Linked DNA regions of Arabidopsis thaliana. The protein of the gene in region 1 interacts with the protein of each later gene in a pairwise test. Each region holds a gene or a part of one and is shown in the gene's direction. Other genes may lie near its edges.

Evidence for each region.
Region 2: the proteins of AT2G34140 (region 1) and WRKY3 interact in a two-hybrid assay, tested with the Arabidopsis thaliana proteins (one large-scale study listed by BioGRID).

The regions. Positions count from the first base shown.
Region 1 is NC_003071.7:14,412,230-14,417,348, reverse strand, and holds AT2G34140 (Dof-type zinc finger DNA-binding family protein), read left to right. Parts: upstream 1-2,560; 5' UTR 2,561-2,648; coding exon 2,649-3,161; 3' UTR 3,162-3,655; downstream 3,656-5,119. UniProt on the Arabidopsis thaliana protein: Transcription factor that binds specifically to a 5'-AA[AG]G-3' consensus core sequence. Transcriptional repressor of 'CONSTANS' expression. Regulates a photoperiodic flowering response.
Region 2 is NC_003071.7:1,013,850-1,019,753, reverse strand, and holds WRKY3 (WRKY DNA-binding protein 3), read left to right. Parts: upstream 1-2,531; 5' UTR 2,532-2,817; coding exon 2,818-3,273; intron 3,274-3,759; coding exon 3,760-4,445; intron 4,446-4,548; coding exon 4,549-4,710; intron 4,711-4,792; coding exon 4,793-5,030; 3' UTR 5,031-5,404; downstream 5,405-5,904. Other genes in the region: AT2G03350 (DUF538 family protein (Protein of unknown function, DUF538)), read left to right, coding at 1-21; AT2G03330 (uncharacterized protein), read right to left, coding at 5,632-5,904. UniProt on the Arabidopsis thaliana protein: Transcription factor. Interacts specifically with the W box (5'-(T)TGAC[CT]-3'), a frequently occurring elicitor-responsive cis-acting element.

The DNA.
Region 1 (5,119 bases):
TATACTATTATTTTATATTATTTTTGTACATTATCAAATTCAGATAAAACATGAGTGTGTTTGGTTTCAATGACTTAAGAAAATATGAGTTTTAATTAATGTCAAGCCCATGAACAATTCCAAAATTGGAGATGATATTGGGTTGCTTTTAATCAGGCCATTTTATTTCATCAAAACAACAGAAGGGTAAAATTGTACTTTACTAAAAGCTGTATTAGAAGGAGAGTTCTATTAGAGAGGAGAGATAAAACTACCTATTCCTCCTATTTCTAAAAAAAGTGTCTACTTCTCAAATTATTTTTGCAAATTACTCTCCAACTTATCTCTTTCAATAATCGTGAAATCTTCATTAAGTGTAAAAGTGATACATGATTAAGCTTAAATACAAGTAAACTAAACCAAAACTACTAACCAAACTTAACCACAACTAAACCAAGTATATACACTCTAATAGAATGTGTACGTTCGTTAAAGAACGGTCATGGCATATTTGTATTGGATGTTACTTAAATTTGGTAAATTTGAAAAGAAAAGCATTATCGGTAAAGCTGAAATCACTAAGATTTTTCTTTTTATTAATTTACAATAGACTATCCTTTTTCCATACCATGTAAAAGTGGTTCCTTTATGACTAGAAAGATACCAATGAAAATTCATACTACAATTTAAAGGGGAGATGAACATGAAATTAAACTCAAAGAAAGAAAAAGAGAGATGAACATCGATCAATGCTCTCTTTTTTACTTTCTTTCCTTTTTGTTAAAAACAATGTTCTCTTTTTTTTCTTTTACTTTTCTTCCTTCTTTTCTCCTTTCATTTCTAACACTTTCCTTAGTTTTACTTTTATATTTTATATACGTCAACCAAATATGGGATTAGGTTAATTGAAAGTGGCATATTTTCAGAAAAGTACTTTGCTTTGCTTTATCTTTCCTCAATGTTCCATTCAAAAGACTCCGTCTTTCAATCGAATATCAACGCATGAGAAAATTATGATCCATTTTGAACTTCACTGACGAGCCGGATCATACTAGGACTGGACTTATGGTCGTTGATACTTGAGTGAGATTATAGCTGAGATGGTCAATCCATCGACACTAGATTGGATCATTAATTGATCAGACTTAGCTCATTCGTCCGACCCACTTTACCATTTATATATAGTTTCAATCTGGCCACTTTGCGACAAGACATGGTGTATAAGATATTAGTAATTAAATTTAAAACAATTCGAATACTTATGAGAAGGCTACCGTGAAGAGGACCCACAAGAAGTCTTTAGAGCTGACAAAAGGAAGAAATATGAAATATGAGTAACGATGTCTCTGTCTCAAAAGCTCATACTCCTTTCTCTTTTCCTCTTTTTAACACTGACTTATTACCAAACATTTCTTTTTTTGACGGCTATGTCTTAAAAGTTAGATCACATCTAAAATATATATATACAGTATATAGTTCATCCATTCTAAATTCTAAAGATAAATATTTCAATCTTGATTTCCAAAAAAAAACGATGAGGTCAATCCTAAAGATCAGTATTAATTGGGGGTTTAAACACATACACACGCACAAATCCATCCAAATGTTCTTTGAAAAGAAAATATGTATGGGCCGGGGCAAGACTCCTAGGTATCTAGAGAGTTGCATTTCAAACCTAATGATAATAGATTATTTAAAGTTTTAGAAAAATGGAACTCGTGACTCGTGCACTGAGAAATCATTATCAAATTCGTAAAATATTAGAGAGCAAAAAGTCTGAACAAGACATTTTCCTTTTCATGAGTTACTGCCTTGTTCGTTTTGGATATTTCCTCCGTTTTATAATATAAGTTGTTATAGACCAAATTTTTTGTTTCACACTATAAATTGTTTTCAAGTTTTTATGCAAGTTATATATTACTTTAATACTTTATGATTATTTATATTTTACAGTCTCTTTTATGATTGGCTGAACTTTTTAAAAGTTAATATGCTTAATATGTGTGTTTTTAGCTAAAACAACTTATATTGTGAAACGGAGAGAATATTATTTTTTAGTATCTGTTTCATATTTTTATATCTAGATACTAGTTAATCAAAAAAAAGATCTATAATTTCGACAACCCTGAAATTCTAATTCGTTAATAATCCATGAACATAGACTCAAATTCGGATGTGAATAGATGGATCATGTTTATAGAATCTCTTTCAAGTAAATTTAATCTTATTTTAGTTGGATCACGTTCAAGCATCCACTAGCTTGTCTAAAATTGTTACGAAATAATTAATGTGTATTCATTTATTCTATAGAGTAAGTGGACGAAAAAAAGGGAAAACGTGTATGGTTTTACAGTAACTACTTACGAATTGCACTTTTCAAATAATTAGCTTTTTAAAGAAAGCTTTGTAGCTTGATCCGCATTGGCATTCGTGTTTTACGTGTAGATGTGAATTCAAGACCCAAAAGTAAAGCGATGAATGCGCCTATTACTACATGCTTTAAAAAGTTTTTAACAAATAAATATTTTAATCTCCACTAATTCAGTCACTTTTCTTCTCCAATTCCTGCTAAAAAGTTATACTATCATCTTTCTATAAAAAGACGTCTTCTCTATTTCTTACCCCCAACAAACTTTGGATAAGCTATTTTCCATTCTCTGCACGTTTTCATGGCGACTCAAGATTCTCAAGGGATTAAACTCTTTGGCAAAACTATTGCATTTAACACTCGAACAATAAAAAATGAAGAAGAGACACACCCGCCGGAGCAAGAAGCCACAATAGCCGTTAGATCATCATCATCATCGGATCTGACGGCCGAGAAGCGTCCGGATAAGATCATAGCATGTCCAAGATGCAAGAGCATGGAGACAAAGTTCTGTTACTTCAACAACTACAACGTTAATCAGCCTCGACACTTTTGTAAAGGCTGCCACCGTTACTGGACCGCCGGTGGTGCACTCCGGAACGTTCCCGTCGGCGCCGGTCGTCGGAAGTCCAAACCACCTGGTCGTGTCGTGGTTGGTATGCTTGGAGATGGAAATGGTGTTCGCCAAGTCGAGCTTATAAATGGCTTGCTCGTTGAGGAGTGGCAGCATGCCGCAGCCGCAGCTCACGGTAGTTTCCGGCATGATTTTCCCATGAAGCGGCTCCGGTGTTACTCCGACGGTCAATCGTGCTGATTATAATTATTTACTCTCTTTTTTAAAAAATAATTTGTTTTGGTTTTGGGGTTGAGTGGTTTTCCTCTAAACCCGTTGAAGAACGTGGTGAATTTGGTTGCTATTGGGTACATACAGGCTGGCAAAGTAGTTAATTTGTCATTTGTCAATCAATCGAATCCAATTACTACTTTAATTTACTACTCTCTATACAAGAGGATTCTTTTTAAACAATTTAATTAATATTATCGACCTAGGATTCGTATGCATTAGTATAGTGGCGTGTGTAATAAATTTTGATAGATTTGTCATTTGTGTTTAGAATTCCATATGGTTAACAAGATTTCTCCAATTACTTGTTGGAATACCTTATATAAGTCGGTTGTTGTGTTATTCCATATTTGTAATAGTCTTTTTTTAGATTGTGGATTAATGTTTTGGCATTCATGTGAAAGAGACTTGTTGTTATTTGCCATTTTCATTAATGTTTTAAGCATAAAAATGGTTAATAGATCAAACCTATATATATATATATATAAGATGAAACCTAATTACTTATTTCTTATATTTAAATACACTAAATCAATAGTCACTTTTCAATAACTGCAACTTATTACTTCCTACAAAAAGCCTCCACCTCTCGCTTCCTTTCTTCTCTGATTCAGTTTTCCTGCAACTTTTATGGACTATTTATTTTTTGAAGTTTCTGTATAGATTCACTGACATGGGCCAAAGGCAAAGGTAAATTACTGGTTGCATTTATATATGTTCATTGATTCTAAGTGCCGATGTATCCGGTTAGATTTTGATTATGTTTTGGGTGATTCTGTTTTTTTTTCTCTTAAGTTAATTCTGTTGATTTTATGTTTCCTTTCTTGATAGATCTATTGATGGGAGACTACGATTTCTCTTTTACAGTGCCCTCGGTGTGGTACGTATCATTTCGATAAAATCTTTTTCCTATTATCATTTTTATTTGATCTAAATGGAGTATCAACGAGTATTATTTTGAGATTCTATCAATCATTGTATTTTGTAATATTATTCTTTGTCGTCGTTTGCAATTAGTAGCTAATATTTACCACAAAAAGTTATGCAACAATGCATATGTTTAGGTTATTTCTTTACCTTTTTATTTTTTACAGGAATTCCTTACTTTCAAAAGAACTAACAATAAATCCAAATATTCAGATTGTAGAATTTCACAAGAAAAACTAGATTGAAGGAACAATTTAGATTATATAATGTGACTGGACTTGGCAATGGAACAAATAAAATGTTTGAATTCATTTTATTCAGTAAATATAAGAACCAACAATACAAAAGTCAATAAAATACATAATTCATCTGGTGCAACAACATCTTCCCGTTTTAGGCCCTGGAACACAGTTTCCATCATCATACCCTTTCGTTATACAGTCATGGAAGCATTCAAAACGTTCGTAATACCCTGGACTACATCGAGCAAAGCAGTCTCGCCCTACACATATATATCAAACAAAAAATCTTATAAAAACATGTAATACACTACTACTTTTTTTTCACTAGAAATAAATATTTCACTAAAATTCACTAAAGGATTACAACGGTGGATTACATATGTCGGGAAAGGAAATAACCCTTCCAAAAACTAAGCCGGCGAGTGAATAAAATTTTTGGAGACAAAGACGGAGAAACAAAGAGAAAAACACCAAGAACAAAGTTTGATCCAAAACTTTCCCACAGCCTCAAAAATAAAAATTACACAGTCGAGTATTCTCTAATACACATACATATATTTTGGGAAAACATATTCTCTCACTACAAGAAAACAGTCGTTTTGTGAGGGAAGAATTACTCGTTAATCCCTCGCAAACAGCTACACGCAACAGATTTGCGAGGAAAACGAGTTCCTTGCAAATCGCTTCTCGCAAATGGTTATATGTCGCAATTCCCTCGCAATTGTTGCGAGGAACTGTTTTCCTCGCAAATCACACGCA
Region 2 (5,904 bases), about 13 Mb from region 1:
AAAGTCATTGGAGAGTTCTAAGGATTTTTTTCACAATTGGTTATTATCATATTTGATTCATGAATTTATTTGGGGTTATTTGCATTTTGGGAAGAGGTATACTTAAAGGAAATGTGTTTATATAACTCTCATTTTCCTCCTTTATATGCAAGAAATCACAAATCTTTATCAAGCCATAGTACCGCTAAATATTACTTTGATAATGATTTTTAATCGGTAGTACCATAACAACAATATCAAACCATTGTATAGAGTATTGTTTGGTTTCTTGAATTGGTGGTAATAAGGTTCCACATGTTAACCGTAAAAGATATTGTTTGTACCAACAATGGGTCTCAAGATGCCATCACCATGGCCTAGGTAAATTGTGATAAACGTGGAGGTGACAATTTTATCAACCTTTAAGTACATAATTTTATGTGATGATCTTCTTCTTCTTTTTATTTTAGCTCCCCCTAGATTGAGCTGGCCCAAACGGCCAGACCTAAACAATATTTGTGGCTCATTTTTACTCAAGATTTTTGTTAACCGAAAAAAGAAAAGCTTTAAATCATAAGATTCTTTTTTGTGCACCCAATTCATAAGATTTAAACCACTGATTTTCAAATAAATATTTGGAAACTTAAAAACAATATCTTTTAAGTGATCTTACCGAGCTCAAACTTCACTTTTGCTGATGGTTTAGCAAACTAAGCGTTTTCTTTATCGCTTAATTTTCATTCGTTTGTTGTTTACCGTATATTGTTAAGCCGGTTTTGTTGGAGGATACTAATGGGCACACAAACTCCAGAAATGTCCGATTGTAATTTTCTACATTTTTTATTTGAATAAAACATAGGGGGCAACTGCCTTCTATCATTCACCAAAAAAAAATTCACTCTTGCTTTGCTTTATGTTCGGCTAAATATGAAACTCACACAAAATCTATCAGTCCTTTTTATTGTCGTCATACTCCTTTCTTTTTTTCTATAATTGTTTTTAATAGAAATGTGCTGGGCCGGCCCTGCAGGCTAGATTTTAAAACATGAAGCTTTGTACTAAGAATCTGATTTTGCACTATTACACGATTTACTCCTTTCGTATATTCTCTCTATTTTTTTACATATTCGATTTACACCTTTGTTTCCGTTTCTATGTTTTATAGTGATTTTTTTTTTTTTTTTTTCACATGTTTTATAGTGATTTTTTATAAAATATTTGCTTGGCTTTCTCGATGTGATAAGTGAAAGACGCGATTCGTTGTGGCAATGAATGAAAAGGGCCCCATTTGGGTCCTACAGATATTAAGGATGTATTGTCTCTTTGGCCCGTTTTCAAAGTTACTTGGGCCCTCCATAAAGTCAAGTTGTGTTTTCATTTTTTGTTTACTCCATCTTCTCACGTTTCCTCTTTCACCATTTTACCAAAAAAAGTTACTTATTATTTACCAAATCAATAAACTCCATAAAATCATGACGAGAAAAAAATATAATCCATAAATTGTTTCATTTAGGACATAAAACAGCTCTTGTGAGTTACGATTAGGCTTAAATCGACCATAACTTCCGATTCATTTTATGTATACGTGGCGAAATGCAATTTGTAGAACGTGGTGAAGACAAATTGGTTATAACCCGTCGAGTCGTGCTTAGAGCTGCTGGTTGACTTGCGAGGCACAAACCATCGTTGTCTCAAGGGACATAATTGTAATATAACACATTAAACCGACGCTTTTTATAAACTACTTTCCCTTATTAGCCAATCATAACTCAACGATTACTACAAAAATAGACGAAATAAGACATAATGAATAAATAAATATGAGAAATAAAAAAGGAAATCTGTTAGATCCTTGTCTTCAATAAACCACTATATACTTCCAAAAAAGTTATTATAGCTTATGCATTTGTTTTTGGGTTAATTCGCTAAAAAAATCAAACATTTGAAGTTTTGATGTTTTTTATTCTGTCTTAAATTTATTATTTATTATAAAATATGAGAATTGTTATATAGACGATTTTATTATAGACAATTCCTTCTGACTCTCTTTAGATCCACGACAAACGTTACCTTTTTCTCATTTTCTATGATTTTGATGAACACTTTCAATGATTTTCCCTGCGTAAAATCTTGACGAATGACTATAATTGTACATCGTTGGAGATCTCCTGCATACTTGTCTCTATTAATCTATCGAAGTTTTGAAATTTTAAAGTTTGTGTATAAAATGATACGGTAAAAAATTATAACTAAAATGAATAATTGATTTTGTGCATATTTTACAAATAATATGATATCATGTTATTGTATTTTATTACATGTTATTTTGCAAAGAAATCTCTATATTTTAATTATCTTCCAAATTAACTTAAATGTTTTATGATTTTTTTTTTGTTTAATTTCTTATGTAAGCAACCAATGCAAATTTAAATTCATGAAATACTTTACTTTCTTTTGTAGCATTCATTACGATGTGTCATTTTTTTTGAAAATCAAAAATTAATAAGAAAAATAAAATGGATAAAATGAAAAAGACAGAGAGTTTTTACTCTATCATATCTGCACCGCAGACTTTATACTGTAAACAAAATTTTATTCATATTTTTCGAGATCTGCTTGAAGAGACAAACACAAGAAAATCACAAAAAAAATCTCTCCCATTAAAAGACTGCACAAAGAAATATTTTATACAAAATGAAAGAGAGAAACACGACACGAATTTTGTATAATTAAGATTACACAAAAAAAAGTGTTAGAAAGAGAAATATCTTCTTCTTTTTTCTGTGTGAGTTGGGTTTGTTAAAGTTTTATCCTTTTTGTTCTCAAAATCAAGAATCGATGGCGGAGAAGGAAGAAAAAGAACCATCGAAGTTAAAATCATCCACCGGAGTTTCACGGCCAACGATTTCACTACCTCCTCGACCGTTTGGTGAAATGTTTTTTAGCGGTGGCGTTGGATTTAGTCCTGGACCAATGACTCTCGTCTCAAATTTATTCTCTGATCCTGATGAGTTCAAGTCTTTCTCTCAGCTTTTAGCTGGAGCTATGGCTTCTCCGGCGGCAGCTGCTGTTGCCGCCGCTGCTGTGGTTGCTACTGCTCATCATCAGACACCTGTGAGCTCTGTCGGTGATGGCGGTGGAAGCGGTGGTGATGTTGACCCGAGGTTTAAGCAGAGTAGACCAACGGGATTGATGATAACTCAACCACCGGGGATGTTTACTGTACCGCCGGGGTTAAGTCCGGCTACTCTTTTGGATTCTCCGAGCTTCTTTGGTCTTTTTTCACCTCTTCAGGTGTGAAATTCGTTAACAACTAAAAAAACTCAAAGCTTTGTTTTTTTTTGCTCATTGTTTGTTCGAAACTCTGTTTTTGGTAAATGAAAGTTTTGTTTGGATATTTTGTTGCTGTTTCTGGTTTTTGTTTTCTTTCGGTTTATGTCTTTATGGATGCAAATCCAAACCATTTTGCTGGATAGAGTAAGAGAAACAAAAAACAAAAACAAATGTTCTTCATTTTTAGGTCAAAATTGGGAAGTTTTGACTTTGAGACATTATGGATGCTTTTTTGGGTATCTGAATCTTTGAATGGAAGAATTTAGAAAGTAGGAATCTTTCAGACAAAGAACAATGTCAATGTCAAAGAGAGAAACAGAGTTGTCGTTTAGAACTCATTAGTATTGTTTCTTTTCTAAATGTTGAATCTTTAAATGTATTTGCTTGGAATTTGTTACCTTGTCTTTTGGGCTATTAGCTGATAATAGAAATGTGAATTATGTGTAGGGAACATTTGGTATGACACATCAACAAGCTTTAGCACAAGTCACTGCACAAGCAGTTCAAGGCAATAATGTTCATATGCAGCAATCACAACAATCTGAATATCCTTCTTCTACACAACAACAACAACAACAACAACAACAAGCTTCATTGACTGAGATTCCATCATTTTCTTCTGCACCTAGGTCTCAGATTCGAGCCTCGGTTCAAGAAACATCGCAGGGTCAGAGAGAGACTTCGGAAATATCTGTCTTTGAGCATCGGTCACAGCCTCAAAATGCTGACAAACCAGCTGATGATGGATACAACTGGCGGAAATATGGGCAGAAGCAAGTGAAGGGGAGCGATTTTCCTCGGAGTTATTACAAATGTACGCATCCAGCTTGTCCTGTCAAGAAGAAAGTGGAGAGGTCACTCGATGGACAAGTAACGGAAATCATCTACAAGGGTCAACACAATCATGAGCTTCCTCAAAAGCGCGGTAACAATAACGGGAGTTGTAAAAGTTCTGATATTGCAAATCAGTTTCAAACAAGTAATAGCAGTCTCAACAAGAGTAAGAGGGACCAGGAAACAAGCCAAGTTACAACAACAGAGCAGATGTCTGAAGCAAGTGATAGCGAGGAGGTTGGGAATGCAGAGACTAGTGTGGGAGAAAGACATGAGGATGAGCCTGATCCCAAGCGAAGGTAAATAAGAAAAACTCATGAGACTTTACTGTTCCTCTTACATTCATCTCTTGTGTGGTTTTGGTTATTCTGATGAGATTTAAACAATCTTTGAATGTTGCAGAAATACAGAAGTTCGGGTTTCAGAACCAGTTGCTTCATCGCATAGAACTGTGACAGAGCCTAGGATTATTGTCCAAACGACGAGTGAAGTTGACCTCTTAGATGATGGATATAGGTGGCGCAAGTATGGTCAGAAAGTAGTCAAAGGAAATCCTTATCCGAGGTAAGACTAAAACCTGGTCATCTAGTTCAAGATAGTCATTGGTCTTTCTTGTTTCCTTAATGCTCTTTGATCTAATCCACAGGAGCTACTATAAGTGTACAACACCAGATTGCGGAGTAAGGAAACATGTAGAGAGAGCAGCAACTGACCCAAAAGCTGTTGTAACAACATATGAAGGTAAACATAACCATGATGTTCCAGCTGCTAGAACCAGCAGCCATCAGTTAAGACCAAACAATCAACACAACACCTCAACGGTTAACTTCAATCATCAACAGCCTGTTGCACGTTTAAGGCTTAAAGAAGAGCAAATCACTTGACAGAGAAGAAGAATACGACGGCGCTTGAGCTTTTGTGAGTTTAATGAATCTTCTTTTTGGTTAATGAACCTGTTTTTGTTGCCTCAAAACACCACAGGTTTCTCTGGACAGAATCTCTGATATTACAGTTTCAAAAGGTATGTTCTTTTATTTCATGTTGGAATCTTCTGTGTAATCTTAAGAAGCTTTAGGAGGTAATGTAAAAAACCAGATTCAAAGTTATGCCCTTATGTGAATTCTTTTGTACATGGGATAAACAAAATTTACAGGTATCCTTTTTGTTCTTGTTGTAATAGGTTACATTTGTGGATGTATGTTTCTTTTAGTCATTTGTATCACAATGTCTATACAAATGAAACCTTTCACCGAAGATTAACAATGCTTCTAGTGGGATTCTGAGTAATCTAACCTTAGCTAAATTAATAAGAAATATGCCAATTCTGATTCAGATTACAGCAGTTTGCAAGTCTCAAGAACAGTAAAGAAGACCAATATACAAGGGTTACAAACTTGCATTATCATACAAGAAGACAAGTTTTTCAAACACTACCTTAAAACATAACAACAAGACCTTAAACTCATCATCATCATCATCATTTGATCAGATGTTGTTGTAAGCTACAGAGACCAAGTGAGGAACTTTACCATCATCAAAAGGCAAGCTAACATATTCTCTAGCAAACTCTTCAGCTATCTCCCCAACAAGCTCACCATGAACAGCTTTACAATACATATACATCACAGTAGTCGCCACAAGATTATACAACATCAATAGCGTTAGCAACGCGGACGTGATCCAATTCTGTACAAAAAAGAAAGAACCTTTCCACGACTTCCCACCATTCTCATTATCGTTGAGCAGAGCATAGGCGGC